3 linked regions of the Arabidopsis thaliana genome follow. The protein of the gene in region 1 interacts with the protein of each later gene in a biochemical or structural test. Each region holds a gene or a part of one and is shown in the gene's direction. Other genes may lie near its edges.

Region 1 (11,053 bases):
AATATTTTATATACGAAATAAAGTAAATCTTAATCACATAAAAATTAGCACAAAAAAAAATATGGTACATTCAGGTCTATAGTATTTTTGCAAGACTTTTTTGGTGGATTTGGGTAAAAGTGCATTCGGGTCATATGGTACATTCACCTATTAAATAAATATGGTATACTCCTATGTTATTAGCTAAAATGTTTAGATTATAATTCAGAGTCATATCATAAATAAAATTACTATTAATAAAATAAATGGCTTTTTGGCAAGACGGATTTGGAGGGACGGGTTTTTGAATCAACATTAATAAAAAAAGTAAAATATAATTAATCCACCATTTCAATACGGGTTAAATCTTTAATTTATTATTTTTTAAGACCACTAATATTAAACATATCAAATCATCCTAATTTAGAAAAAATTATATAAAACCAAAAATGTTATGTGGTATGTATAATGTTACTATATATAAACTTAAACTATAAAATATAAATGTATTAGAGAATGATACAATTTGCAAAACTTTTATATAGAATAAATAATTCTTAAATTTTAAAAATTACTACTTTAAAAAAAAATCACGGAACGGGTAAAGAAATTACATAACGGGTTTTATTTTGGAATTGGGTTATATGGTGGATGTATTTGAATTAATATTTATAAAATTTTAAAATATTATTAATATGTTGTTTTAATAGGGGTTAAAACTTCAGTTTTTTAACAATTGTCTCATGGATTCGTGGTATAGTGTTACTTAATAACAATTATAAACTGTAAAATATAAATATTTTATAAAAATAAAATTTGCAAATTTTAATATATATTACTTTTAAAAAATAAATCATCCCCTGGTATACCGAGGGTTAAAATCTAGTCCATGATTGTTACGGCATACCAAACTTACATGATAACTAAAGAGTCTTAGGTTAAAACTGTGGTAGTCAATATATGAAGAGTGTTGTTGATTTAATTTGCGAAGCAAGAAAGAACTAAAATTTTAAGACATTCCAAAAGACTCTGTATCATTCTGAAGGTTTGAGCTTGGAAAGCGAGCACGTGAGTCGCTCGTGAAACTATATAATTTACGAAAACTCTAAATACACCCCAATAGTATTATTTCATTCAAAACACACCCCACAATTTATTTAAAAGAGTCGGGGTTTTTCCAAGAACACTGGATCGTCGTCTCTCTCCTTTAGTTAGACAAAGCCTCCTTTCCCAAAACCCTAAAATCAGCCAAATTCAAATTCCGCTAACCAATTTCCATGGCAGAGGAAATTCCAGCAACAGCATCATTCACTCCATACGTCCATTCACAAACTCTAACATCTCACAATCGCGCCGTCTCCTCCGTGAAATTCTCCTCCGATGGACGTCTCCTCGCATCCGCCTCCGCCGACAAAACAATCCGCACTTACACAATCAACACCATTAACGATCCAATCGCCGAGCCCGTACAAGAATTCACCGGCCATGAAAACGGTATCTCCGATGTTGCATTCTCTTCAGACGCGAGGTTTATAGTCTCAGCTTCCGATGACAAAACCTTAAAGCTATGGGACGTTGAAACTGGTTCATTGATCAAGACGCTTATTGGACACACTAATTACGCCTTCTGTGTCAATTTCAATCCTCAATCAAATATGATTGTATCTGGTTCGTTTGATGAAACTGTTCGGATCTGGGATGTCACTACTGGAAAGTGTTTGAAAGTTCTTCCCGCGCATTCTGATCCTGTTACTGCTGTTGATTTTAATAGAGATGGGTCTCTCATTGTTTCGAGTAGCTATGATGGGTTGTGTCGTATATGGGATTCTGGGACTGGTCATTGTGTGAAAACTCTGATTGATGATGAGAATCCTCCTGTTTCGTTTGTTAGATTCTCTCCTAATGGCAAGTTTATCCTCGTTGGTACACTTGATAACACGCTGGTGAGTTCACTTGTTGAATTCCTTTCAAAGATTTGATGTTTTTAGTGTGATTACTAGTTTTGCTCTATAGTGATCTCGAAAAAAAGCATGAAGATTTTGGGTAGAGTGTGTTAGTAGAAGTTTGATGTAGGAGAAGCCAATTCAAAACTAAGTTTACAGAGAAGTTGTTAGCTTTAAGTATAGTTCTGTTGTTGGTTGATATTCAAGAGTTTCGAAGGGTCGTATCTAGAGGGTTGTAGCTTCGAAGATACATCGTCGTTTGGAGTTTGATTAATTTGCATTAGGAAATTAAATTCTTATGATTCGTTATTAATGCACTCATCTCTCCATGAACTTAGATTCTAGGTTGTGTGTTAATAGAAGTTTGATGTAGGAGAAGCCAATCCAAAGCTATTTTTGCAAAAATTGTTATCTAGTTAAGGAAAAGTTGATAGCTTTGGAACAGTTCTGTTATTGATCGAGATTCAACACTTTTGAAGGGTCGTATTTAGAGGGTTGTAAGATACATCTTCTTTTGGTGTTTGCGTCTATAGGGTATTGTTGAATAAAGGAATTCTCATGATTCGTTATAAATTTGCAGAGGTTGTGGAACATTTCGTCTGCTAAGTTCCTCAAAACATACACTGGCCACGTGAACGCACAGTATTGCATTTCCTCTGCGTTCTCCGTCACAAATGGAAAGCGAATAGTCAGTGGATCCGAGGACAACTGTGTACACATGTGGGAGCTAAACTCCAAGAAACTGCTACAGAAACTTGAGGGTCATACTGAGACCGTCATGAACGTAGCATGCCACCCGACAGAGAACTTGATCGCATCAGGCTCGCTCGACAAGACAGTAAGGATTTGGACACAGAAGAAAGAATAAATCATCACTCTCTCTCTTCAGAAATCAAACATGTAGGTACATGCCACCTTCTTCATGCAGTAATCATCTGTTGCTTACTAAGCTTGTTAGATTGATTCTAGCCTCATTATGTAAAAGTCTAATTTTTGTTTGGTGTAAGGGAAGTGCAACAGACTGTTCTAAACTTGTAATAGTTCTCTGTGTGACTCAGAACTATTTAGGTAGGTCTTAAGGCAAAGACTCCTGCAAGTGCAAAGGCATTTGAGAGAATGAACACAAATCTTCATAGGTTTACCCTTTACTCATTGTATCTATTAAGCTGATGCAATGCTTCACCAATACTATTGGTTATAAAGTAGTTTCAGGATTGAAAATTGTTCATCTGAACCATATTGATGGGTGGCTCATGGGTCAAAGTACAGATATATGACTATAAGTAGATAATGTATGGTAGTTGGTTACTTTGGTTGGCCATGATGATGAAGCTTATGGTCCCCTGGTCCTGTCCCATTTTTTACTTTTCATTTTCACTTTTATCGTAAAGTCTTCTTTTTTTTAAACCCTACAAGATTTTGAAATGGACCACTTGAAAATTTGAACCCACTCTCTCTTTTTTTGTTTTCAATTTCGAAACCAAAATTTTTTAACAAAAAGATGACTTTGTGACCTTTGTTCTGTCTTTTAGCTACACACCAGTGGGCTGTTTGCTTTTACAGCGTGTCTTTCTGTTTACATGATTCAAGAGAAAGCAACAGTTCCTAAAGACTCAGTCATGTTTGTGTCTCTCCCAATTGATACAAAGACCAAAATTCAGCTTTGGTTCTTTTGTGTAAAAGTTCTCGAGATATGCTAATAAGATTAAACATAAAAACTCTCAAAAAGAGTATAAATTGAATTCTTTATGATTGTAGTAGCAAACAATAATTGTTAGGTTTAGTGCTATCATAATAATCTATTAGTCAGGTTAAATATATTCGATTTGGTACCAAATACGAAATCAAGCTTCAACAAACGAATCTGCAATACACACACACCCATCCAAAAGTATATCTTCGACATTTTCCCCAAAAAAGTATACATTTCCTAACACGTGCTTACCAATTCTTATCATTCGAAGTAAACCATTAAACAAGAAATGTTTTCATTATTATAAATTTTTCACTAATATAAGTTTATTATTTAGTGCAAGAAAGTGCGTTGCAGATGAAAACTTATTCTATTGATCCGGGTCCATAAAGAAGAAAACAAAAATTCACCTAATACGAGTACGACTTATTCTAGTGGCTACATATTTCCCTAATCATGTGACTAAAAATCTGCTTTCAAAATTTTGACATTCAGTATTTCTTTAGATCTATATCATTAAAAATTCATTTTTTTCTTTTGCATTTTGATTCCATATTTAATACAAGATTAAAAAAAAAAAAACTAATATGTTTGTTCACTGAGCAAACCATTATTGTTGATCAGTGAACTGTGGTAACTGGCAAAAGAAGCAAATGATTCGAAATCCTACTTTCTTACAAAATCAAATTGGATAATTTTGTGAGATAATAAAAAATCAGTATAAATAAAATAAAATACATGTCGGGAAACCATTATTGTTGATCAGTGAACTGTGGTAACTGGCAAAAGATGAAAATGATGCACATAGGACTGTGTTTAACTGACTTACTTCCACTAATCAAAAGTACGATCGTATCCCTACCCATCTCTCGAGGATCTTAACTGTTGCCGTGCGTCATCTCAAGGTTGTTCTCGTCATTATCAGTCGATCAGAGTACAGAGACCGGCTCTCTGGGTTTTGTCGATCATGCCATTGCCTTGGGGCTTGTTGTTGTGGTCCGTCCTAAGGATAGAAATGTTATTACAAAGCTTTTTAAGGGGTTCTTTGGTTAATTAAGTGTTTCGTTTTGCTTAAGAGAGGTTAAAGAAGCGGGTGTCTCAATAAGTTTTGGTAAGTTTGTGAATCCCCAGTGGTGGACTCCATCTTTTCCCGTCGAATTATAACATCAGGACCGTTCATTTCAACATCATCAATTAATTCATTATGGGGTTTATCTTTAAAACATCTTTTTGAATTTATGGTTCGCTTTGGTATTGCATTATTACACTTGTATACCTGTGTAATAAAGTGTTGGATTTTGTCAAGATTAGGTAACATCACGTTTCAAAACAACAAGGCTCCAAATTAATTAACATTTTCTTCATGTAATTATCGTTTTTGAATCCCTTCCTTTCTAATTCCATGTTTCATTAAATCCACCACATGCATATGTTTCTATATATGTTAAATAAACGACTTTTCAAGTTTTTAATTTGTGTTTTCTATTTTCAGAAAATTTATGTGAAATCAAAGTTTCTTAAAAATCTCCCTCCAAGTAAATTCCAAAATAAAATAAAAATAATACTTTTACAATATACAAATAAAACTCATAAAAAACACACACACAATCTTCATCTTCCTCACTTACTCTCACCCTTTTTAAAACCAAACCCTAACTTACACAGAAAGAGAAGAAAAAAAACAAAAAAAAAATGAAGCTTCTTCTTCTCCTCCTCCTCCTCCTTCTCCTCCACATTTCTCATTCCTTCACCGTCGCTAAACCAATCACCGAGCTCCACGCTCTTCTCTCACTCAAATCCTCCTTCACCATCGACGAACACTCACCTCTCCTGACCTCATGGAACCTTTCAACAACTTTCTGTTCATGGACCGGTGTCACGTGCGACGTCTCTCTCCGTCACGTGACCTCTCTCGACCTCTCAGGTCTTAACCTCTCCGGAACTCTCTCCTCCGACGTAGCTCATTTACCTCTGCTACAGAATCTATCACTCGCTGCTAATCAGATCTCAGGTCCTATTCCGCCGCAAATCTCCAATCTCTATGAGCTTCGTCACCTCAATCTCTCCAATAATGTCTTCAACGGTTCATTTCCCGATGAACTCTCCTCTGGATTGGTGAATCTCCGTGTTCTTGACTTATACAACAACAATTTAACCGGAGATTTACCGGTTTCACTCACTAATCTCACTCAGCTCCGTCATCTTCACCTCGGTGGGAATTACTTCTCCGGCAAAATCCCGGCGACGTACGGAACCTGGCCTGTTCTCGAATACTTAGCGGTTTCCGGTAACGAGCTAACCGGTAAAATCCCTCCGGAGATCGGAAACCTAACGACTCTTCGTGAACTTTACATCGGATATTACAACGCTTTTGAAAATGGTCTTCCACCGGAGATTGGAAATTTATCAGAGCTTGTTCGGTTCGACGCTGCTAATTGTGGTTTAACCGGAGAGATTCCACCGGAGATTGGGAAGCTTCAGAAGCTAGATACGTTGTTTCTTCAAGTAAACGCATTTACAGGGACAATAACTCAAGAGCTGGGATTGATTTCAAGCTTGAAATCGATGGATCTGTCTAACAATATGTTTACCGGCGAGATTCCGACGAGTTTTTCACAGCTGAAGAACTTAACGCTTTTGAATCTCTTCAGGAATAAGCTCTACGGTGCTATACCTGAGTTCATCGGTGAAATGCCGGAGCTTGAAGTGTTGCAGCTTTGGGAGAACAATTTCACTGGTAGTATTCCTCAGAAATTGGGGGAAAATGGTAGATTAGTGATTCTTGATCTCTCTTCGAACAAACTCACCGGAACTCTGCCGCCGAATATGTGTTCTGGTAACCGGTTAATGACGTTAATCACTCTTGGCAACTTCTTGTTTGGTTCAATACCGGATTCGCTTGGTAAATGTGAGTCTCTGACCCGGATCCGGATGGGTGAGAATTTCCTTAACGGGTCGATTCCAAAGGAGCTCTTCGGGTTACCTAAATTATCTCAAGTGGAGCTCCAAGACAATTACCTTACCGGAGAGTTGCCAATAAGCGGAGGAGGAGTCTCTGGTGACCTTGGTCAGATTAGTCTTTCTAATAACCAGCTCTCTGGTTCATTACCTGCAGCTATTGGAAACTTGTCCGGTGTTCAAAAACTACTTCTTGATGGTAACAAGTTCTCTGGTTCGATTCCTCCCGAGATTGGGAGGCTTCAGCAGCTATCTAAGTTGGATTTTAGCCACAATCTGTTCTCCGGTCGGATCGCACCGGAGATCAGTCGTTGTAAGCTGCTAACGTTTGTTGATCTTAGCCGTAATGAGCTCTCAGGTGATATTCCTAATGAACTCACAGGTATGAAGATCTTGAATTACTTGAATCTTTCAAGAAACCATCTCGTTGGTTCCATACCTGTGACGATAGCATCAATGCAGAGTTTGACATCGGTTGATTTCTCTTACAACAATCTCTCCGGTTTAGTTCCCAGCACTGGACAGTTTAGTTACTTCAATTACACATCGTTTGTGGGTAACTCTCATCTTTGTGGTCCGTATTTGGGTCCTTGCGGCAAAGGAACTCACCAGTCTCATGTCAAACCTTTATCTGCTACTACGAAACTGTTACTCGTCCTTGGATTGCTCTTTTGTTCGATGGTGTTTGCTATAGTGGCCATAATCAAAGCTCGGTCCTTGCGAAATGCGAGTGAAGCCAAGGCATGGAGATTGACTGCTTTCCAGAGGCTAGACTTCACTTGTGACGATGTCTTGGACTCTCTCAAGGAAGACAACATCATCGGTAAAGGCGGTGCTGGGATTGTCTACAAAGGCACTATGCCTAAAGGCGACCTAGTCGCGGTCAAACGATTGGCTACAATGTCCCATGGATCTTCCCACGATCACGGGTTCAACGCCGAGATTCAGACGCTAGGTAGAATCAGACACAGACACATCGTGAGACTGCTCGGTTTTTGCTCCAACCACGAAACGAATCTCCTTGTGTACGAGTACATGCCTAATGGTAGCCTTGGAGAGGTTCTTCATGGAAAGAAAGGAGGTCATTTACATTGGAACACACGTTATAAGATAGCTCTTGAAGCAGCCAAGGGTCTTTGCTATCTCCACCATGATTGTTCCCCGTTGATCGTCCATAGAGATGTTAAATCCAACAACATCCTCCTCGATTCCAACTTCGAAGCTCATGTCGCCGACTTTGGTCTCGCCAAGTTCCTCCAAGATTCCGGTACTTCTGAATGTATGTCCGCAATTGCCGGCTCCTACGGCTACATAGCTCCAGGTAACAAATTTGCAGAAAATGGCATTTAATCAAACACTTGGTGGTGAAATGTAAAATCTCTGAACTTGTTTGTTCCTTGTTGAGCAGAGTACGCGTATACATTGAAGGTAGATGAGAAGAGCGATGTGTATAGTTTCGGTGTTGTTCTTCTAGAACTCATCACCGGGAAAAAACCCGTCGGAGAATTTGGCGACGGCGTTGATATTGTTCAATGGGTGAGAAGCATGACGGATTCAAATAAAGATTGTGTGCTCAAAGTAATCGATCTTAGACTCTCTTCAGTTCCAGTTCACGAGGTAACACACGTCTTCTACGTTGCGTTGCTCTGCGTTGAAGAACAAGCGGTGGAGAGGCCGACGATGCGTGAAGTCGTTCAGATTCTCACTGAGATCCCAAAAATTCCTCTTTCGAAGCAGCAAGCGGCGGAATCAGACGTGACTGAGAAAGCTCCGGCGATTAATGAATCGTCGCCGGATTCAGGAAGTCCACCGGATCTTTTAAGTAATTAGACTTTCCGGCGATTGGGTTTGGTCATTGAGGGGCAAATTTGTCTTTCTAATTTTCTTGTCACCGACGTCTCGGTAGTGGAGTTAATTACTTAATTAGCCCGTTGTTGTCTGGTTCCGGTTAAGGCAACAATTAGTGGTTTAACTCTTAAGGTTGTTGCATTTCTTTTTTCACTGCTGCCACAATTATTCGTGTAGGAATTTTGAATATGTACATTGCGGTTGAATTTTGCATGATAAGTGGTTAATTTCAGGAAATCGAATTTCGAGAACATTATGGCTTATGCATATCAGCATATATATACATGCAGTTATGTATATGATCAATCTGCCCCCGGTTCAAGTATGTCAATTGTGTTAGACCAAAAAACACTTTTGCCCCTTATATTCTTAAGAACTTCATTTAGTTTCATACTCAAGCAAAAACTAATTTTTTAGAGTTTTCGTTGTCTTAAAATGAAACTAGTGTCTCCATTATGCTGGAATCTTGCTTATGAGTTGTTACATTACATATTTTATTCTCACCTTTGCTTTTACCCTTTTGGATTGTATCTGGTTGTGGTAGCTGTTGTGTCACAACAAGACATTCCATGTGAAAAAAACACAGAGAGGGTGAAACCAAGGTATGAATGTGTTTGTGTGGGACTGAAGATGAGTAACGCTGAGAAGAGAGAAAGTGAAAGCTCACTCACAATTTGTCCAATTATTGCAAATGTATGGGTAGTGTGACACTAGTGTCTTAATGAATTCAGATGGTCCTAAGATCTTTTTTCCACTCTATTCCCTTGTCTTGAAGCAAAAATCTAATTTTAGACGAAGCATTTATGACATCTCCCTCTCATTAATTACAAGCCATATATTCAACTTTGATTTTGACTCATCAATATCAAAAAATCTTTAGACTTTAGGTGTTGTTGCTATCCTTGGTATCTAGTACTTTCTTCGATAACCATGACTATTATATTGAGATAAGAAAGATATAAAGAACAATAAGAATATTAGTTATGATATTTTAGATGTATTATGTTCAAAATTTCTTACGTTCGAATGTACATTGATGATCTTGTAAACCTAATTAAGGAGTGCCTAACTCTAGAATTAATAAGTCAGGAGTTAGTTATCAAGAAACTAGAAAGACTTGAAGATGGATTAAAGTGGTAATTAATGTTTTTCAGAGGCCAAGATTCTAATTAAGAGATGGGAAATGGCATGTTCCATTCTCTAGCTTCATATATACACTTATCGGGTGAAACTACCAGATTACGAATAGCCATTAGATGACTAACAATTGAATTCAATTTAAATCATCCAAAGATATATTTTATATATTGAGATTCTTTCTTCATCTCAAACTTCTAAGTTCTAACATAGTCATGTAGTTGAACTTTCGGGCCGAGGCCCATAACAACTCCATCTACTTAAACGAAGGTTAGATAAAGGGACGAACAAAAAGAATCAGTCTGGTGTCAGAAACTAGAGTATGTACTTTTGTGTTTGAATTGTAACGTTTGTTTCTTTCTTCAGCTCTTCATTGGTTTATCGACACAGTACTTATGTCACTCCAATTGTGAGAAAATCATTCTGCACAGTCGTTTCGAAATCAAGGAAATCAAACAAGAGCAACAACAATCCAAAGAGTACCAAAATATATTTGGCTATAGAGAGCTATCATTGTCTTGTACACTTGTCCATGTTGGGCTATAGATCCATATTTGTGTTGGGCTAGGCTCAGTTTTTCTTAATAACACAAACTTACTTATCAAACACGTGTTGTCTTTTTGGTTATTTAAGTAGTTGACAAACAAAAGTACAAATAAGCTGTTAGGGCAAAGGAGCAAAAACGAAACCACAGAGAGAAAGCCTCCGTCTCCCTTATCAAAGAAGAAGAAGACGTGTATAACAAAACACTAGACACATTGTGAAGATAGAAAAAAATGGAGAGAGCAGCAATTCTCCCGAGTGTTAATCAAAATTACCTACTTTGTCCTTCACGCGCCTTCTCCACGCGCCTCCACTCCTCTACTCGTAACTTATCGCCGCCGTCATTTGCCTCCATCAAGGTCAACTCTTTTCTCATCTCCCTCTCTTATCATCTTCTGATTTATCTGACCCATTTCTCCGATTATCTTTCACAGCTTCAGCATTCTTCTTCCTCTGTTTCTTCTAATGGTGGAATCTCTCTTACTCGATGCAACGCTGTTTCGTCCAATTCTTCCAGGTTCGTTCTTTGTTTTTGGTGGGTATTTGTCCAAGTTCTCAGGTTCTTACTTATATATATGTATTGTTTATGTTGAATTAGTACGTTGGTAACTGAATTAGCCGACATAGATTGGGATACCGTTGGATTTGGGCTTAAGCCAGCTGATTATATGTATGTGATGAAATGTAACATTGATGGAGAGTTCTCAAAAGGTGAGTTGCAACGTTTTGGGAATATTGAAATTAGCCCATCTGCTGGTGTACTCAACTATGGACAGGTTTGTTTTCTTAGTTTTCTTCAAAGTCATGTCCTTTACTGTATTGAGTATGATCAAAAGTCTAGACCAAGCTTAGATTATGGTTAAAAGAAGCTTTTTGTGGGGTTAAGGTTTAGGATTTGAATGTCAGATTCTTGACACTGAAACGCAATCTATTATCTGATTTTGTATCCTAG
Region 2 (9,309 bases), on another chromosome or scaffold:
AAGACATGCTCATAGTTTAACTGAGATTAGTTTAGGTCTCATTCGGTGTACATGTGATGCTCATCTTGGTTACTTTCTTAATATGCAGCAAATGGAAACTACAAGGTGGACTTGAATGTGGAAGCAGAAGAAGCAGAACAAGACGAAAACGATGTCGATTGGCAAGAATGCTGAAAGCATATGGATCAACCATTGATTCGTTTGCAAAACACGCTGTCACGATTTCTGAGCGCATAACACAAATCACAAAACAGACAATCCTTTCATGAGCTATAATGCATGCTGATTACTTTAATTTAATTTTATTGGTTAAATGCTCATATGACTTATTAAACATTCAAAAAACCCTTCAGAAGAGTTACATTGCACTAGCAGGAGGAATACTTTGTTCGAATCTAAAGAAATTCTCAGGATCATACTTTGCTTTAACTTCCATCAATCTCTTAAAATTCCCCAAGAAATACTTCGATCCATAGATCTTAGCTTCTTCAAGATTGGTCTCACCACTCGGATTGCTTCCGACATCGATATCTCTGTAATTCAAGAACGCCTCTCTAGGGTTACTTGACACGTACGGCTCCATCTCATGGTATATATCTCTCATTAGACCAAGATTAGCGTATGTGGCGTTTGCGTCTGTCCATAACGCAAAGTACTGAATCTTGAACAAGTTTCCTTTTCGATGAGGAAACGCGGTGGCATCAGCAGGAATCTTGTCCATCACTCCACCGTAAGGGTTCCATTGCATCCACATATTGTTGAACTTCAACATTGCTTTCCAGATCTTCTCCATTTCTTCCTTTGGGATCGGTTTCTTGACGTAATCCGATTTACTCTTGTAGAATGCTCCTGCGGGACCCGATGGTCTATCCAATAAAACGCTTGTCGATGTTCCCACAGGATAGTTCTGCCAAAACGTTGTCGTATTAATCCAGCTCATTTCGTAGCAATCTTCACGTTTTAGCCCTAATTCAGGCAAATTCTTGTTCATAATCGCCATGAGCCTCCTTGCTGAGCCTAAAAACTGAGCGTAGAACACAACTGCGATGGTTTTCTCGCTAGGTACCACGCCATTTACCGGTTTAGGCATTGCTCTCAAGAAAAGGTCTTGAGGCAATTTGCTCGACACAAGCTGCCATTTGTAGAGAACATCAGTAACTCCTTGCTCCAAGGTTTTGTTAACCTTAAAAACAGTCACGGTCTTTGGAACATCGACGAGGTTGATTTTCCACGAGAGGATAACGCCAAAGCTAGCGCCCCCACCGCCTCGAATAGCCCACAATAGATCACGTCCCAAGGTAGCTCCTGTCAAGATATTGCCGTTGACATCAACTATTCGAGCATCAACCACATGATCGACCGAGATTCCGTACTTTCTTATCAGATTTCCGTATCCTCCGCCACTGATGTGTCCTCCAGCTCCTAATGTAGGGCAAACGCCACCCGCAAATGCTAGGGTTTTGCTAGCCGCTGCGATCTTGGTGTAGAGCTCTCCCATGGTCGCACCAGCATCAACCCAAGCTTGCTTTCTGAACACGTCAATGGTTATAGACCGGAGATCGTGCATGTCAAGGATAACAAACGGAACGGAGGAGGTGAAAGAAAGTCCCTCGTAGTCGTGACCGCCGCTTCGGATACGGATCTGGATTCCGTTTGACTTTGCGCAAACCACAGTTGCTTGAACATGAGATTCATGTTTTGCAGCAACAATGGCGATTAGTTTTGTGTCGTTAGGGTTTAAACACCGTTTGTTATTCGTGTAGGACACGTAAGAAGACGCGAAGGTGGAGTTCTCATGAGTATAGATGGCTTCGGCGATCGGATTCTTCGGATTGGTCCGATTACGAAGGCATCGGAGGAAGTTTTCAATATTTGGTTTCGTTTCATTTGCATCTGAAACCGAAACAAGAAGAACAAGTAGCAGAACATAAACTACTTCTTTCATTACTTTGATTGAAGAACTCAAAGAGAAACGAAAAATCTAAAGTAATTTGTTATTTTTCTTATGTATTAATTGGGATTTAGACTTATAGAAAAAACTATGGAAAGAAAATTAAACTGAAAGATGTATTTACAGTACTTTGAATAAACTTATAAACCTACAAAATATGGAAACTGAAGTAATGAGGGAAAGTTGAATACTTTTTTTGTTTTATAATGTAATTGCCTAATTGGAAACGTAACTTAATGTGAAACTTTATTCAATTTTTTTGTTTTTGATAAAAAAGTGAAATGACTAGGGTTTATTGTAAAAGTAGGCAGTTTTTAGAAAATTATTTGAGAACTAGACAGTTTTTTTGGAAATATGCTAAGAGGGTACTTTTTATTGGGCTTGTCTAATAGGATTCATGTGAGATAGAAAAAGGTAGCAAAAATCCAAAAGAGGTGTCAAATACAATAGTAGCCTTGTGTTTTAAAAACACACATTCCGGCTGGGTTCGACGAAACAAATTGGATTGGGTTTTAAAACTCATTTTAGGCCCGTTAACTCCAATTCGTATTAAGTGAGCCCAAATATTTGAGCCCGATAGTTTCATTACGTTTTTTATCCAAATAACTTCTGAGCCCGTGTTTATTCTGAGATTGAGTTACTTTACTCTTCTTGGTTTTTCACGAACCCTAGCCACAGTCGGTGTACAACAAATCGAGGGTGAACGAGTTCGAGAAGAGAGACGTTTGAGAGAAACCCAGTACACCAAATGGGTACACTATAATAGTACACCAAGTGAGAACACTAGAACAGTACACCACTAGTACACTAGACTAGTACACTAGCCAAGATAGAATATAATAGTAGACTAGAATAGTACACCAAATGGGTACACCAATTAGTAACCAAGTGAATTAAAAACAGTACACCACTTTGGTGCACTAGACTAGTCTACTATTATACTAAAAACATTTAGGAAATGCAATGGAATTAAAAACTATACCCTAAAACTATACACTAAAAGACATTATTGAAATGTAGTGAAATTCAAAACTATACACTAAAAGACAAAGAGAGAAGACTAAACCCAAGGAAAACCATATATCATATGGAATAAAGTTTAAAACTATACCCTAAAGCCTTAGATTACTAGAATTTAGAATTCCAAGTAAATAAATAAATTCCTAATTCAAAATCATAACCCTAGATTATTATTATGCTTCATAACACTTGAATTGAAATATATTGTATTATAATTTGGATTGATACTTTGACATTCTAGAAGTAGACTAGAATAGTACACCAAATGGGTACACTATAATAGTACACCAAGTGAGAACACTAGAACAGTACACCAGTAGTACACAAGACTAGTACACTAGACTAGTACACCAAATGCGTACACTATGATAGTACACAAAGTGAGAACACTAGAACAGTACACCACTTCGGTACACTAGACTAGTACACTAGCCAAGATAGAATACTAAACAAAAGACGTCGTGACCAACCATGGAGAATCTTCGCCGGAGAACTTGTTCAAGTGATTTGAAAGTCTGAATTTTTTCGCAGTTAATAGCCTTTCCTGGCCTAGTTTTATCAACCTTGAAATCCCACCAACCATTGGAGTAGCAAATCCACCGGCCGACCATGGAGACGCAGGATTCATCGTCCCCTGAAAAAACGAAAACAGAGTCATCGTCTCCATCGTTATTTGTTGGCCGTACACTCAATTTCATAAACTGTAAAGCTTCTTATGATAACTCATACCTTCCATCTCGACAGATTTTGACAATGTGTGTATGATTTTCGAAGTGACGAGGGTTTATCTTCTTTTGACAATGACGACTTCAGAGAAGATGTCGACGACGAGAGAAGTTTATGTTCAACGAGGGTTTAGGAGATAAGTTTATGTTTGGTTTCAATGTCTTGAGGACAAATGGGTTTGAGTTTTGTGATATTAGCCCATGACAAATCTTGAATTTTGAATGATATTGGGCTGGTTTGAATTTGGCCCATTAGTTTTCATCAAAACACAAGAGGGGTAAAACGGTCTTTGACTATTTGCTGTATTAGAGGAGGGCTGTATTAGAGAGGACAGAAGAAACTACCCTATCAGCCTATTTTTAAAAAAACTGTCTAGTTCTCAAATTATTTCCCTAAAAACTGCCTAGTTCTCAACTTATCTCAAATGACTATTCCTCTCACTTTTTGAGTTAGTGCTCATGGAAGTAGCATTTAGCTTCTGTTGAATTCACCTTTTAATGCGTTGCATTAGTGTAAAATTCTCTAACAATTAAGAAGCCTGAGTAAGTTTGCAATAAATTTTATTTTCTTTATCAAAAGTTTACCTTTTAGCTCCTGTTGAATTTCCATTTTTTTAAAGATTCATTAAGACAATAACTATTATTTTTATATATTTTTATTATTCTTAATTAAGAAAATACAAAAAATTATAAAATATGTTAATAACAAAATAATAAACAATACAACATAGGAAACTATACCAATTAAAGAAATTAAATGCATATAGATTAGATGAATAAAAATAGAAATGTAGAAAATTAAAAATTATATATATGATTCTATAAATCTAAATTTTAAATTAGGCATATTAATTTGGTAAAATTGCAGAAATATAAAGTTCATTGGATATAAAGTGAAACTATTGAAGATTTTATTGATAGTAGTTTATATAATTCAATTCAATTCTCAAACAAAAATTATATTTAACATTGAGCACATTTACCAAATAATTATCGACTCAAATTCACCCACGTAGATGTTTGTTGCGCAAGAAAGAGAAAAAGTTTAGAACAAGATAAATAGACCAAAGAGACAAGAAATATATGAAAGGAATTCGAGGCACAATCTTACAAATACAAGCAAAACCATTCTAGATAATTTTTTACCAACTGACATAAACACATTATTATGTGTTCAATGACAACGAAAATGATAATTAAACATTGAAATTTGTTTTCATAGTGGAGCTATTGTAAAAAGTGTAGATATTCACAAAATTTAAAAAACTTCACAATTATTATTATTTTAATAATCTTCAACTTCCAAGCACACGATCACTAAAAGGAAAATGGGCGCGTAAATCTCATCCCACTCTGTTTCAAAATAACCGCCAACAACAACAACACCTCCAATAACACAGAAACTACCTCTCTGCTTCTCTCTCTAATCTCACCCATACACGAAACCAAATAACGAAACCTATTTGCTCTCTATCTCTCCAATGGCGTCTTCTCTGTTCTTCATCTTCTTCCTCACGTCACTACTATCATCCTATCTTCCTCTCTCAGTATTCTCCGCAACCGTCGTCGAAGACCTCGCTAATCTAAGTCCACCTCCTGATTTCAACACCACTATTTCCAACAACTGTCTTCGTGATCCAATGCTCCGTTACTGCAACAACACTTCCTCTTCTCCAATGGACATTGTCGAGATTTTCAGATCCACAATCGTCGCTAGTCATCTCTGTAACGAGTCCAAAAACCCTAACTGCGTTGAATCTTTCCCTAGAATCAGAATTCACGGTCGTCCTAAAACCGCTGCTCTTTACCTCTCTTTCGATTTCTTCTGGAAGTACTGTCCTTTAACCGTCGTTGATATCGAGTTAGTGAATAACTCTCTAACGAATGGTTTTCCGACAAATGTTCTGTCTTGTGCTCAGATTCGTACTCTTGATCTGAGTTACAACCAATTCTCTGGTTTTGTTCCGGTTCAAGATCTCTCAGGCTTACCCAATCTGACCCATTTGAACCTATCGTATAACCGATTCTCCGAGAATAAGATCTCGGATTCTGAGTTCTTCAAACGGTTTAACGCCTCTAGTTTCATACAGTCCGGTGTTCTTCCCAACGTGAAGCGTTACAAGATGAAAGTTTTGGTCTTGTTGATTGTTTTTCCAATAATGGTGATTTTGCTCTGTTTTTGCTTTGGCTGGTTATGTGTCAAGAGACCTGATTACTTACCAAGAACATGCCGGAGAAGAAACAAGTTCACATTCGCGATGCTTGAAGCAGCAACGGATGAGTTTTCAGATCAACATCTTGTGAGCATGAGCAATACAGTGGATATCTACAAAGGAACGTTAAGAGACGGGACAGAGACGAAGATCGAGGTTTATAAAGAGAAGGTTTCGAGTGAGAAAAGGCGTGAATTCGCAGAGGTATGCGAGATGGTTTTTAAGTTACGACACAAGAACTTGGTAAGAGTGTTGGGTTGGTGTAATAGTAGAAACATGAGAGCTTTGGTTACAGAATGGATTCAAGGTGAAAATGTTGAGACTTGGTTAAGTTCGTCAATGGCTTTATCATGGAGAAGAAGGTTAAGAGTAGTTCTAGGAGTTGTAGAAGGTATTTGTTATCTATCAGATCAATGGCCAGAGATTACATTTGATCTCACCACAAGCAGTGTTTTGTTATCCGATGATAATCAAGAACCTTTGATTTCTCATTTCAAGATTGGAGATAGAAACAACTTGTCAACAAGTAAGGCTTCATCTTCTTCTTGCAAAAATCAAAACCTTTTTAAGGCTATAAAAGCTAAGTCTGTTGTTGTTGTTGTTGTTGTGTTATTACAGATATATTCAACTTTGGATTGTTTTTTGTGGAGATGATTACAAATCTAAGACCTGATTTGGGACAAGAAGATTCAGAAAGAAGGTATCTTGAGTATATAAGAGTTCATTATCCGGATAATCTAGAGAGAGTGATTGATGAGAAGATGAAGATTGAGGGGAGAACATTTGATCAAGTTAAGCAAGCCATTACGCTAGGACTGATGTGTACTGATATAATACCACCATTAAAGCAACCAAGCTTGACGCAGATTTATGACTTGGTGAGTTCATTGTATGAGTCTAGTTCACGACATCATTGAAATACCTTGTAAAGCTTTATTGGTTTCTTTTGATTTTCAGACATCTGGTGTTAGATAGTATTGTAAGGATTAAAGACATATTTGTGTGTTTTTTCTTTGATTACTATAAGTACTGAGAGAATTTGCAGAAAATGAGTACTTAATTTGCAGACATGAAATCTGTAAATGGGCTTCATTTCTGCAAATGGGCTTTATTAGCTGAAATGGGTTTCATAGTTTTATGGGTTCTCAAATGACCCGACCCGGGTTGGAAGATATAGAAACTATACACTGGTTGGCAAATGGGAACGTTCGATTAAAAATTCGGTAACTACTACGACGTGACTTGTCTCTTCTCCGTTGAAAAGCCATCGACAGTTATGTATGAGTGTATCATTTATCAACTTGAAAGCAATTTCAGTTTTTAAAATAATCCAAATACTAATAAACCAGAAATTAACCCATCATCAAAGCATTAATAATCTTCATTACCATTTGAAACCGAAACTTGTATCACAATTAAATAACGATCATAAAATTAGACGTTTTTTTTTCTCTATCTCCATTTTCCCGGGGGAAAAAAGATCGGATTTTTGTTCTAATGTCATTGTCAAAATATTATTCGACAGATCACAAAAAAGGTGACCGTTTTTTTTTTTTTTTTTTTTTGGCAAAAAAAAAGGTGACCTTTTTATTTTGACATTGATAGTATGAATTATGGGGTCTGATGCTAGAAGTTCTTACATGGCGGGCCAGACAAAGTCAATGCCGGCAACAACGGACTCCTACACATAAATTTTTTAATTCACCAATTGTTTCTCTTCTATAATTAGCCCTCATCACTCAATTTCTCAATCTCAGATTATAATTCCACAAACGAACAAGAAGAAGAAGAAGAACACAAGATAACAATGGAGAGTAACAACAACGAGAAGAAGAAAGTTGCAAGACAATCATCATCCTTCAGACTACGTAGCCCAAGCCTAAACGCACTTCGTCTCCAACGAATCTTCGACTTATTCGACAAAAACGGCGACGGATTCATAACCGTCGAAGAGCTAAGCCAAGCTCTAACACGTCTTGGTCTCAACGCTGATCTCTCCGATCTCAAATCCACCGTTGAATCATACATCCAACCTGGTAACACTGGTCTCAATTTCGATGATTTCTCTTCTCTTCACAAAACACTCGACGATTCTTTCTTCGGTGGAGCTTGTGGAGGAGGAGAAAACGAAGATGATCCTTCTTCCGCAGCTGAAAATGAATCGGATCTCGCCGAGGCGTTTAAGGTGTTTGATGAGAACGGTGATGGATTCATCTCCGCTAGAGAACTGCAAACTGTTCTGAAGAAACTTGGTTTACCTGAAGGTGGAGAAATGGAGAGAGTGGAGAAGATGATCGTTTCCGTTGACCGGAATCAAGATGGTCGCGTTGACTTTTTTGAATTCAAGAACATGATGCGTACTGTTGTCATCCCTTCTTCTTGATTCTCCAAAAAAACATTTTTTCTCCAAAAGATTATTATTTTTACTTTTTGTCTTTTAAGTTTGTATTTTTTCCAGTTTATGTAATGATTGATTCAAACATTATAAACAAATAAATTTTTTCTTTTTTGTACTTACTGAATTTGGCACGAAAAATTCGTACCAAACGCATATTGTCGCCTATAAACAATATTCAATCTAATATATTTGTTTGAAAGAAAAAAAATGCGTAGCGGAGGGAATAAGTATTTAGCGAGTCTCTTGCGTTGTTATAGAGATGAAAGGTGTAAACTTTCTGGGAAAGTTATACATGGGTTCATTGTTAGGATGGGAATGAAGAGTGATACTTATCTATGTAATCGTTTACTTGATTTGTATATTGAGTGTGGTGATGGGGATTATGCACGGAAGGTGTTTGATGAAATGTCTGTAAGAGATGTTTATTCTTGGAATGCTTTTTTGACGTTTAGATGTAAAGTTGGGGATTTGGGGGAAGCGTGTGAGGTGTTTGATGGAATGCCTGAGAGAGATGTTGTGTCGTGGAATAATATGATTAGTGTTTTGGTGAGGAAAGGGTTTGAAGAGAAGGCTTTGGTTGTCTATAAGAGGATGGTTTGTGATGGGTTTTTGCCTTCTCGGTTCACGTTAGCTAGTGTTTTAAGTGCGTGTAGCAAGGTTTTGGATGGTGTTTTTGGTATGAGGTGTCATGGGGTTGCTGTTAAAACGGGTCTTGATAAGAATATTTTTGTTGGGAATGCGTTGTTGTCTATGTATGCAAAGTGTGGGTTTATTGTTGATTATGGTGTTCGAGTCTTTGAATCTCTCTCTCAGCCTAATGAAGTCTCTTATACAGCGGTGATTGGCGGGTTAGCTCGGGAAAATAAAGTGTTGGAGGCAGTTCAGATGTTCAGATTGATGTGCGAGAAAGGCGTGCAGGTGGATTCTGTTTGCTTATCTAATATTCTTAGCATCTCTGCTCCAAGAGAAGGATGTGATAGCCTGAGTGAAATCTATGGCAAT
Region 3 (11,150 bases), on another chromosome or scaffold:
GTGATTACTTTCATGTCTTCTTGATTGAGTTAGAGACGTGTTACCGTCAGAGCAGGTTTTCTCATTCAATTCTAGATTTAAGTCTTCATCTACTTTGGGAAACTCTGGCCTAACGTTATCTCTGATATACATTGACTACAACAGTAAAAATTTGCAAATACATTGGATCTCATTGACTATCATTGTTTCTGATATTAACTAGGTGGAACTTTTCAAGGGTTCACCATGAGCCATATAGCTTCTCTTTAACTAAAGTCCTTGCAGGAAAGTTGGAGATCAAACTTTATTGTTGATTGGACCTCAGGGATACTCTGTCTTGAACATCATATCAAGATACAGAAGTCTCTTTGAAGTTTGGCAACGTTGCTTTTCTTGGTCATCTATATTATTATTTGCATTTTGGTCTTAGATGTCATACTAAATAAATGGTCACTACTTACTTCAATAACTAACATGGTATGATTCATGCGCATTAATTCTTTAACATGCTTACGAGATTTAGTCTATCTTGTGGATGTGCACCAATTTGTGGCCTTGCGAGATATTTCCATTTGTGGAATTGTGGTACAAGTTTTAGGTTTTAAGATATTGATGTTCTGAGAACTCAAGAGACTGCCATGGTTTTGGGATAAACTACTTTACAAGAAAGAAAAGTTCAAACAAGACAAAAGAATCTTAATCATGAGACTGATGGCTCAATATATTCTAGAGGTATAGTTGCTAGTTGCTACGGGATTCTACAAGTAGGCATTTCACGATATATATTCTCATCATTGTTTCCTTCTTACCTAGGTGTTAAAATGGTAAAAAATATACATTTCACTTTCAGCGTCTTGTAATCTCTTGAGCTGTGAGATAATAGTTTATGTCAGAAACATCAGAATTGGTTGTTATGCAATATGGATTCGCTGCATCTTTACTTTTGTGACATGAAAAGTTACATAGGGTAAGATTTGGTGGATTTGATTCCATATCTCCATCTTCAAGTTGCATTTCCTATAGTGAAGGTACCGGCCATTTTATGAAACACGTTGCTTAGCTGGTGATGATTGGTGTAAATTGCCACTGTAGCTTTACAAGAATATGTGGGGAAAAGAAAGGAAAGGGTAAGCATTATATTCCTCAACTAGTGGTAGCTCCTTTTGCAACTTGAGGAACTAAATCCTGATGTAATCTTAAGTTCCTTTGTAGACTTAGCTGTTGTAGCTCAATGAAGATGCTTATTTCTATGGGGTTGCTATAGTAGTTCATAATAACTTTGTTAACAAATGCTAAGTTTGTTTTTTTCTTCCAAGCGGTGCAGACTGTTGTTGTCACTTGGAGAGTGAGTAAACAGAGCATTGCTCAACAAGCCTACACATTTTACAAGAGACAAAAGTACACATATTGTAGCATATCCAAAGTCTCATCTATGTGATTTTATTGTTTGTTTAATAGTCATTTTATGGATTAGGATTTACATTTTTGGTTTGAGCTCATTGGGCTACGTTGACGATGATATCCTTTCACGATAAAAAGATGCCGACAAAAAGAAAAGTAACGGAAGGGGAATATTCGATGAATATCTTGTTGTCTATATATTCTCAGTCAAAAATTTAAACAGAAGATACTAGTATTAAATACCCAATGTCCACATTGGATCGGCGCAAAACTGAGTGACGATCATTTTCGATAAAATAGCACTAATTATTGGTAGGTCAAAAGTTAAAGAACTAATCAATTTCAAACTATAGTAATTATTGATAAGAAAATCATTTGAATCCTTTAGCTGCTGTTCGATTAAATACATGTGTCTAACAAGATAAATTATTTGAGGGAAAATCTCGAATCTGGTTAAAAGGAAACGTTATAAATTTAGTAAACAACACGCGAATTAACATTTCGTTCCAGACAAAGAAGACTTAAACGAAACTGTTTCATCAAAAAAGTAAACCAAACGAACGATAACCAAACCAGAAGTGGTGACACAAAACCAAATCTAAACCAAAAACAGAGCAGCAGCACGCAAACAACTCTATCTTTGATTACCAGCCGCCACCACCGCCTCCGTAACTTCCACCATCACCGCCTCCGTAGCCACCTCCCTCACGGCGTCCACCACCACCGTATCCTCGGCCACCACCGCCTCCACCAGATCCGTAACCTCCGCTACGTCTCTCGTAACCACCACCGCCTCCTCCTGAGTATCCGCCGCCACCGCCTCCTGAGTATCCACCACCGCCTCCGCTGCGGTAACCACCACCGCTTCCACCACGGCCTCCTCCGCCACCGCCGCTACCTCTCGACTGAGCCTCGTTCACGGTGATGACACGTCCATCGAGCTCTTTACCGTTCATCTCTTCAATCGCATCCCTCATGGCTTTCTCGTCCTTGAAGGTGACGAATCCGAATCCCCTTGATCTTCCACTCTCGCGGTCGTTAATGATCTGTAAACAAACAAAATCATACACATCAGCAAAAACAATCGTGGAAGGAATATAAAACAAAGCGATGAATATAAAGCAAAAATCGATCGATCTCCGAGCTCATAGAAGCAGGAAGATGAACGTACCGATGGGACAAATTAAGTAACAGTAACAAAGAACGAGAGAGAACATAGTAACAGTAATCGAATCAAGTAACAGAGAAACAGATCGGAATCAGATCCGTCGAGGATCAGAATCATCGGAATCGGCTCGATCCGGGAGACCGATCTCTCGTGTAACAGACCTTAGAATCGATAACGTCGCCGAACTGTGAGAACGTCCTTTGAAGATCTTCATCATTGGTGGCCCAGGCAAGGCCGCCGACAAAGCACCGGTACTCAACTTCAGACATTTTTTTTTGGGGAAAAGAAGAGAAATTAGGGTTTCAAAATGTAAGAGAGAGACTTATGTGATTTGAGGTGATAAGACGCAGCCTTAATTTATAGAACAGGTGTGACGTAATAACTAGGGTTAAACATGTTTTCTAGGGTTTGCTGAAAGATTTGTTTCAACTTACTCTGATTAAGATGTGTGGTTAATTGGGTTAGTGGTTAGGCCCACATCATGTGAGCATTTTCGATAACTAATGATTTTTTCTCCTCGTTTCGAGCAAAAAATATCTTTGTAAGAATATCTTTTATTCCTTAAATGACAATTTTGTCCTTCGTCTCGTCGTCATTATGTCATACAATAGTTGGGTCTGAGTTTCGTTTATTGGGCCTATCTAATTTAATTGGAAAGATTATAACTTCCGGCCCAATGAATCTGACGGCGAAATTAGTAAAACAATAAAATGAAATAATATGCAAAGACTATGACGATAATGTGCTATGGATTTACATATTTGTTTTGTCATTAATTATGACATGCAATAAATTCATATGAAAAGATTCTTATCGCAATAGCATCGTGGACATGTTACAGTCTGTAATATCCAAACTTTAGCATAGACGTTTTTTGTTGTACAAATATTTTGGTATGTTAAGTGATATTCAAATGAAAGCTAGATGTGCAGATATGTGAACATATAAATCTTTCAATGGAATTCAATTTTCAATCATTGAATATTTGGATACACTCGCTCTGTACTTGAAATATTTTGACTGTCTGAATATTATTTTTTTACAGGATTAATTATTTTGTATACCAAAATTAGACGGATGAAGAATGAAGATGTAGTAGTTATACAAAGTCAATTACAAATGGTTCAGTATCTTGATTTCGATTTTTGTGCTGAAAATGCTGACTAAAGCGTGTAGAAGAGCTTTTTCAACAAGAAATAACCTGGCTAAGATTTTTTTAAGAAATCTGATTATTAATATATCGCAGGTAATATGAAAAAGTATCGTCGACTTTTTATAAGAGTGACAACTAAATCATTTTGCTCATAATAAAGCCACAATTATTATTAGTATATTTTGGTCGTTTTAATACGAGGAAAAATAATTGTCATACAAAATTTACAGAAATGGAGTAGCATCGTAGCTCCTAGGAATTCAATTATTTATTTGCAAAACTACTAAAATGGTGGTTATCATATTAAACGTCAGCAGAAACTTTAAGTATTTTTGAAATGATATTAATTTAAGAGTTCGTTAAGCTGTCTTGGGCGGGATCGTTGAGAGTCAAACTCCTCAAACGACGCCGTATTCAGAACTTCACTTTCAATTACTGTATCTGCGTCTCGGTCACGAGATCGAACCATAAATCTTGGGAACGTGCACGTATACAACGAAAGATCCACCTTCTCTCACTTTTTTTATTTTCTTATACTTTCTTCTCTTTTCTTCGAACGGCCGCTGTTCTTGACCAGTCTGAAGCTTTCTCTGTCCAGAACAGTTCTGTAAGAAGAAGTTTTTATCAAATATTATATAAAAATATCTGTTTCGTATTATATCAGACTTTCCATCTTTCTCTCTCTAAATCTAGGACAAAAAAAAACATGGAAGAGTTAGAGAGAGAGAGAGGCAGCAGAAAATGATTGGTAAACAACAATGAATCGTTTTTGATTCTGAAGTGCACAGAGAAAAGTAATTGCCAGAGAAAGTCGCAGAGGTAACAGAGTGAAGAACCTTTTTTAGTATATATCTTTGTTGAATAATCACAAAAAGAAAGTTTCCTTTATTGATCGGATTCGAAGGAAACCCAAAAAAAAAAGAGATTTGATTATTTCCATAAATCGCGAAGCTTTTTTCCAATTGAATCTTAGGCAATGAATGGCTTTAAGTTTTTCGAAGTACTAGTCGTCACCAGGGTTTAGAGAAACCATGGTGGTTCTGAGGAAGACATCCTTGTTGGTCTTCTTCTTATTCCTCCTCTTGTTGTTAGAGTCAACGTTTGAGCAACAGACAAGTTCTCTGAATGAGAAATCGGCGCTTCTGCTGTTAAGGTCTTCTCTTGGGTTACGAAGCAGAGATTGGCCTGTAAAAGGCAATCCTTGTCTGAACTGGAACGGCATCAAATGTGATCAGAATGGTAGAGTAACTAAGATCAACATTTCAGGGTTCAGAAGGACAAGGATTGGGAATCAAAACCCGGAATTCTCAGTTGGTTCTCTCGTCAATCTCACCCGTCTAGCTTCCTTCAACGCCTCAAGGTTCTATCTTCCAGGTCCAATCCCGGCTTTGTTTGGATCGAGTCTGTTGACTTTAGAGGTGTTGGACCTTAGCTCCTGTTCAATCACAGGAACCATCCCTGAAAGTTTGACTCGGTTATCACATCTCAAAGTTCTTGATCTTTCAAAGAATGCGATCAATGGGGATATTCCTCTGTCTCTTACCTCTCTTCAGAATCTATCAATCCTTGATCTTTCCTCAAACTCGGTGTTTGGTTCGATTCCTGCTAATATTGGGGCACTCTCAAAGCTCCAGCGTCTGAATCTTTCGCGTAACACCTTGACTTCTTCAATACCTCCATCACTCGGAGACCTCTCTGTTTTAATTGACCTTGATCTCAGCTTCAACGGAATGTCAGGTTCGGTTCCATCAGATTTGAAAGGGCTAAGGAACTTGCAGACATTGGTAATTGCGGGAAATCGCCTTTCAGGATCCCTACCTCCTGATCTGTTTAGTTTGCTGAGTAAACTTCAGATCATTGACTTCAGAGGCAGTGGTTTCATAGGCGCTTTACCGTCCAGGTTATGGTCGTTACCGGAGCTCAAGTTTCTAGATATTTCTGGAAATCACTTCTCTGACATGCTGCCTAATACCACTGTCAGTTTTGATTCTACTGTCTCCATGCTTAACATATCCGGGAACATGTTTTACGGCAATCTCACACTTTTACTGACAAGGTTCCAAGTTGTTGACCTGTCAGAAAACTATTTTGAAGGTAAAATTCCTGACTTTGTGCCAACCAGAGCTTCATTGAGCAACAATTGTCTTCAGGGCCCAGAGAAGCAGCGGAAGTTGTCGGATTGCACTTTGTTTTATTCAAAAAAGGGCTTAACTTTCAACAATTTCGGACAACATGAAGAGAAGAAGAGTTCTAAAACTTCCTGGTTAAGCCACACGAAAATAGTTATACTTGCTGCAGTTGGAGGGTCTATATTGCTTATGCTCATTCTCATAGTGTTACCAATAACAGTGAGTTTCTGTGTCCGTCGAAGAAACAGATCATCAACAAGTAATCATCCTAGAGGAAGACACAACGGTGTTGGCCCATTACCTCCTGATGAAACACTTCCCTCAAGAGGAGGAGTCTCTATAAACTTTGGGAGTCTTGGATCATCATTTACCTATCAGCAGTTGCTCAATGCCACCAAGGAGTTCAGTGATTCAAACCTGATCAAGAAAGGACAATCTGGGGATCTTTTCAAGGGAGTTCTAGAAAACGGAGTTCAGATCGTTGTGAAAAGAATCAGCTTGGAATCTACAAAGAACAACGAAGCTTATCTAACCGAGTTGGATTTCTTCAGCCGGTTTGCGCATCCGAGAATAATCCCATTCGTAGGGAAGAGCTTAGAGAGCGCAACTCATAAGTTCTTGGTATACAAGTACATGCTGAATAGGGATTTACCAAGCTCATTGTTCTATAAATCCAATTCCCTAGTTGACAACGGATTGAGATCTCTCGATTGGATCACCAGACTGAAAATAGCATTGGGAGTAGCAGAGGGACTTGCTTACCTGCACCATGATTGCTCACCATCCGTCGTCCACAGGTATGAAAAACCATTCCTTTTACTCTTTTTTTACTTTCAAGCCACCATTAGTTCATTACTGATCTTGAGTCTTCCAATGTTCAATAAGGGATATTCAAGCAAGTAGCATTCTCTTGGATGATAAGTTTGAAGTTAGGCTTGGAAGCTTTAGCAAAGCTTGTCATCAAGAAAACAATGGCCGTCCACGGAAAATAGCCCGATTGCTCAGACTATCCCAGTAAGTGCCTCTGATTCATCATATAACCAATTTTGATTTAAACATCTAACAAACAAGCTTGCTACTGTTTCCCTCTTCAGGTCTTCTCAAGAAAGTGTTCCTGGTGAGTTTATCTTCAAATGCATAAAACAAGCTTGCTAATTTCTTAACTATTCTAACAATCCCTAAAATTCCCAGGGTCTGCAGCTACAGCAACATGTGCCTACGATGTGTACTGCTTCGGCAAGATACTTCTGGAGCTTATCACAGGGAAACTCGGAATCAGCTCATGTAAAGAAACCCAATTCAAAAAAATCCTAACCGAGATCATGCCTTACATTTCATCGCAAGAGAAAGAACCCGTAATGAACATTCTAGACCAATCTCTTCTGGTCGACGAAGACCTCTTAGAAGAAGTCTGGGCAATGGCAATCGTCGCTAGATCTTGTCTTAACCCAAAACCAACGAGACGGCCGCTTATGAGACACATAGTACAAGCCTTGGAGAATCCACTGAGAGTTGTGAGAGAAGACAGCAGCGAATCTGAGAGATTCCGTACGACTGGATCTTCGAGAGGATCTTCGAGTAGCGGTCGAATATTTGGTAGTTGGAGACAGAGCGTGTCTGATCCTGTCGCAGCGGGAACAAGTAGCCTTCTGTCTCAGGCGGAGGGTTTAGCGACTGGATCGTCAGCGAGAGGAAGTAGCCGTGGCGCGTCGAGTCGACGGAGTATGAAAGATGTATAGAAAGAAAGACACACACACACACGATCAATATTTATTTTTTGACGTCAATTTTTAATTATTTTTTATGTGTGGTTATGATTTGATCTCTTGTTGATAAAAAATTCCCGTTAATTTATAATATTTTTCGATGATCAAACCAGACCAGTCTTTTGAGTTTTGATATTCTCGGGTAGCAAACTAGCAATTCGTTTTGTATGGGGTGGGAATCGAAATGTTTTATACTTTGGGGCAATTATATAAAAAACGAAAAGTTTCTGTAATGATGTGTGAATGAGGCTAATAAATGGGCTGCTGTTATCTAACCACGTTGCATCTTTGCACTTAATGGGCCTCTTGGCCCAGTTACTTATTTATTTGATCTAAGTTCTTATTCCTTACATCGTAAATACCACCTCACAAACTTTATACCATACAAAACCAAATGCTAAGTGAAAATTAAATTTGACAAGCCAGATTGCAATTAAGAGTATACACATGTTTAAGATGGAATTGTCAAGTCCAATAACCAAAGGTAGAATTGTAAATACCAAGAGATAATCAAATAAAGTATCTTGAATCAAAAAGATAAATCAAAATATCACTCATATTCCAACTCGGCAGATCGGATTCCGTTTAATAAGATCGAGATCCACCTGCGACAAAATAATGACACATGGATTGAATATATATATTTCCAATAGAACAAAGAAATGTTTACACAAAGTTTTCTTGATAAGTGAAGATTTTGTGCATACCTTGTATATACAAAGAAAGACCGTATGTTTTTTCTAGCCTCTCGTCGAAAGCAATATTGAAAATCTCCTAGAGTGAATCCGAGTACTTGATGTTGTATACCTGAACAACCCACGATCTAAGATGAACACTCAATACATAAATTTTACCTTGTATTATACCCACGGCCGAAGATAGTTTGTGGGCTTCTAGAACCGTCGAACGGAGATGGTTTCTCACATAGTTGGGATAATAAATGGCTTGGAATGTGTTCCACAATTGATTGCATCGATAGTTGAGCCGTTACTCACATATGTTGTTTGAAGTCAGAAAGTGGGACCACCGGTCACAGTACATACATATTTTCAGAGTCACCAAATTTCTTTTCTAACGAAAACCACTAAAACCAGCAATTCCGTAAAGCAACAAAAAATACGTCTTTCTTAACATTTAATTCCGATCGGACTTGATATAAAATTTGAAAAATCTATTTTCGTTGGACGGAGGGAATATTACCTAATTATTATATGTACTGCATCTTAATTATTATTATTATTATTATATATATAGCTTTGTTACATAATCTGTGTTATCTAGATTCAATAATTACAAAAACCAAAACATCACGTAACACCAAATTAATTGAGAAAAAAAATATAAATATAGAAAAAAATAAAAAAAATATATTTAAAAAAATCTCAAGTAAATCATATAAAGCAAAAACAATTACGCCAATGTCGTCGTGCACAATGATGAGTTCACCGCAAATATCCAGCAGTTACAACGTTGTTAATGTTTAAGGAAATTTGATGTTGAGAGCTGCTTGGACCGTATCTCAATACTTATGTATGTGACAATAGATTGGTACCAATGGACATTAGCTACACTAGATTCTATTGGGCCACATTGGCCCATTCCAAACATACGTTTTCTCCCACATGTTAGGTGCTGTTGCGATTGATTCTAAAAATATATGCCATTGGCACAAGTATAGACTATGCATCCTAAATATGTATGCCATTAGTACAAGTACAAACTTTATACCGTACAAAACCAAATGCTAAATGAATATTAAAATTCGACAAGCCAGATTGCAATTAAGAGTGTACACACGTTTAAGATGGAATTGTAAAGTCCAGTAACCAAAGGTAGAATTGAAAATACCAAGAGATAACCAAATAGAGTATCTTGAATCAAAAAGACAATCAAAATATATCACTTAGATTCCAATTCGGCAGATCGGATTCCGTTTAATAAGATCGAGATCCACCTGGGACAGAATAATGACACATTGATTGAGTATATACATCAACAGAACAAGGAAATGTTTATAGAAAGATATCAGAATAAATTAATATCTTTGTGCTTACCTTGTGTCCAAACAAATCTCGGATGTTGTCGATACCGTATAATATCATTGTTGGTCTGTTTAACGAACAAAAAGCAAGAAAGAATCAGCAACGACCCTGAGATGTTGAAGGGAATTAAAAACTCGTACCTTTCAAGAGAGAGACCCCAAGCGATGACTCTAACATCCTCGGGGAGACCCATCGGTAGAAGCATTTCGGGTCTGAACATCCCAGAGTTTCCAATCTCCACCCACTTCCCTAAACCTTCATGGTAGCTGACATCCAGGAACAGGCAAAGTTTAACTTTTTCTCTCTATTCTTACGCAATTTAGATGACTATATTTTTTTACCAATTACCTGAAAATCTCCATGCTTGGCTCTGTGTAAGGGTTGTAAGCTGGCTTGAAACGCAATTTCGACATCCCTGAAAAGTATGATCCCGTAAAGAGTTAGTATTTCTCTCTTGAGCCTAAGCGAACCAAAGTTAAGATTCAATAGCGAAGAGTTTACCTAAGCGTGAGAAGAAGTCTTCTAATACACCAATCAGGTCTCCAAGTGTAAGGCCCCGATCACATATCAAACCTGATCCAAACATGAGATCATTTAACCGATTATGAATAAAGTTTGACAGAAGATTATGCTAACTTTAATATAACTCCCCACAGTGACAACTCTGACCATTAGAACTATACCTTCAATTTGATGGAACTCTGCAAGGTGGGTCCGATCAACAGCCTCGTTTCTGAAGACACGGTCAATCGAAAAGTACTTCTTGGGCACAAAAGGTTTCTACAGTAAGATATAAATCTAATTATACTACTGAATTTTGGAAACCAACGTCTCAAAACCTGTAAGCTAAAGTCTAGTTGAACCTGTGCTAGTGCATAAAGCATCCTAGATGAGACAGCCGTTGTGTGGGTACGAAGAAGATTCTTGTTTGCTTCTTCTCTTTTCCAATCATAATTATACCTTTATTGCAAAAGGCCATGTCAGAGTGATTGCAAATTAATTATTATTTATTCAAGGTGGTAAGAAGATACAAGTCAATTACCCTCTTGATCCATAACCACCAGACTCATGAACACGTTTCACCCTCTCAACATAATCTTCCGGAAGTGTTCTTGTAGTAGAGGGAACTACATTCAAAGATTTACGTCTTAAATGTAAGAGTTATCTATTCTTTGAGATGTCAACAAGCAACCTAGAAATAGCTGTCCTAAACAACAAATTTAGTGACAAAGGATTCAAGATTTGAACCTTTTAGAAAGAAGGTGTCATGAGAATCACGAGCAGGGTGCTGCTGAGGCTGGAACAAAGCATCAAAATTCCAGAAGCTGTAGCGTATATGAATCAGATTAAGATCAGCCAACAAATAGCAAGAAAAGGATGTATAATTAGATATCCTTAAAGCCTCCATGGAAAGCTGAAAACCAAGATTCTTAATAACTAGAGGATACCTGCTCTCCACATAGTTGTTTGTTGGCATCTCCTCAAACCTATGACCACATAAGGCTCACCATT

Evidence for each region.
Region 2: the proteins of BAM2 (region 1) and AT4G20790 form a complex in vitro, tested with the Arabidopsis thaliana proteins (one large-scale study listed by BioGRID).
Region 3: the proteins of BAM2 (region 1) and AT4G39270 form a complex in vitro, tested with the Arabidopsis thaliana proteins (one large-scale study listed by BioGRID).

The regions. Positions count from the first base shown.
Region 1 is NC_003074.8:18,412,434-18,423,486, forward strand, and holds BAM2 (Leucine-rich receptor-like protein kinase family protein), read left to right. Parts: upstream 1-5,134; 5' UTR 5,135-5,307; coding exon 5,308-7,894; intron 7,895-7,981; coding exon 7,982-8,403; 3' UTR 8,404-8,830; downstream 8,831-11,053. Other genes in the region: WDR5a (Transducin/WD40 repeat-like superfamily protein), read left to right, coding at 1,257-1,922, 2,503-2,790; BCAT3 (branched-chain aminotransferase 3), read left to right, coding at 10,335-10,460, 10,536-10,618, 10,700-10,877. UniProt on the Arabidopsis thaliana protein: Necessary for male gametophyte development, as well as ovule specification and function. Involved in cell-cell communication process required during early anther development, and regulating cell division and differentiation to organize cell layers.
Region 2 is NC_003075.7:11,132,292-11,141,600, reverse strand, and holds AT4G20790 (Leucine-rich repeat protein kinase family protein), read left to right. Parts: upstream 1-5,177; coding exon 5,178-6,435; intron 6,436-6,527; coding exon 6,528-6,826; downstream 6,827-9,309. Other genes in the region: AT4G20810 (transcription initiation factor IIE (TFIIE) alpha subunit family protein / general transcription factor TFIIE family protein), read left to right, coding at 89-174; AT4G20800 (FAD-binding Berberine family protein), read right to left, coding at 359-1,945; CML42 (calmodulin like 42), read left to right, coding at 7,717-8,292; AT4G20770 (Pentatricopeptide repeat (PPR) superfamily protein), read left to right, coding at 8,515-9,309.
Region 3 is NC_003075.7:18,272,142-18,283,291, forward strand, and holds AT4G39270 (Leucine-rich repeat protein kinase family protein), read left to right. Parts: upstream 1-4,169; 5' UTR 4,170-4,732; coding exon 4,733-6,627; coding exon of another isoform or gene 6,628-6,715; coding exon 6,716-6,844; coding exon of another isoform or gene 6,845-6,848; exon of another isoform or gene 6,849-6,924; coding exon 6,925-6,947; coding exon of another isoform or gene 6,948-6,985; exon of another isoform or gene 6,986-7,021; coding exon 7,022-7,569; 3' UTR 7,570-7,800; downstream 7,801-11,150. Other genes in the region: CCR1 (cold, circadian rhythm, and RNA binding 1), read right to left, coding at 2,025-2,426, 2,710-2,817; AT4G39280 (phenylalanyl-tRNA synthetase, putative / phenylalanine-tRNA ligase), read right to left, coding at 8,151-8,201, 9,651-9,705, 9,779-9,904, 9,987-10,053, 10,140-10,211, 10,322-10,418, 10,502-10,598, 10,681-10,765 and 2 more.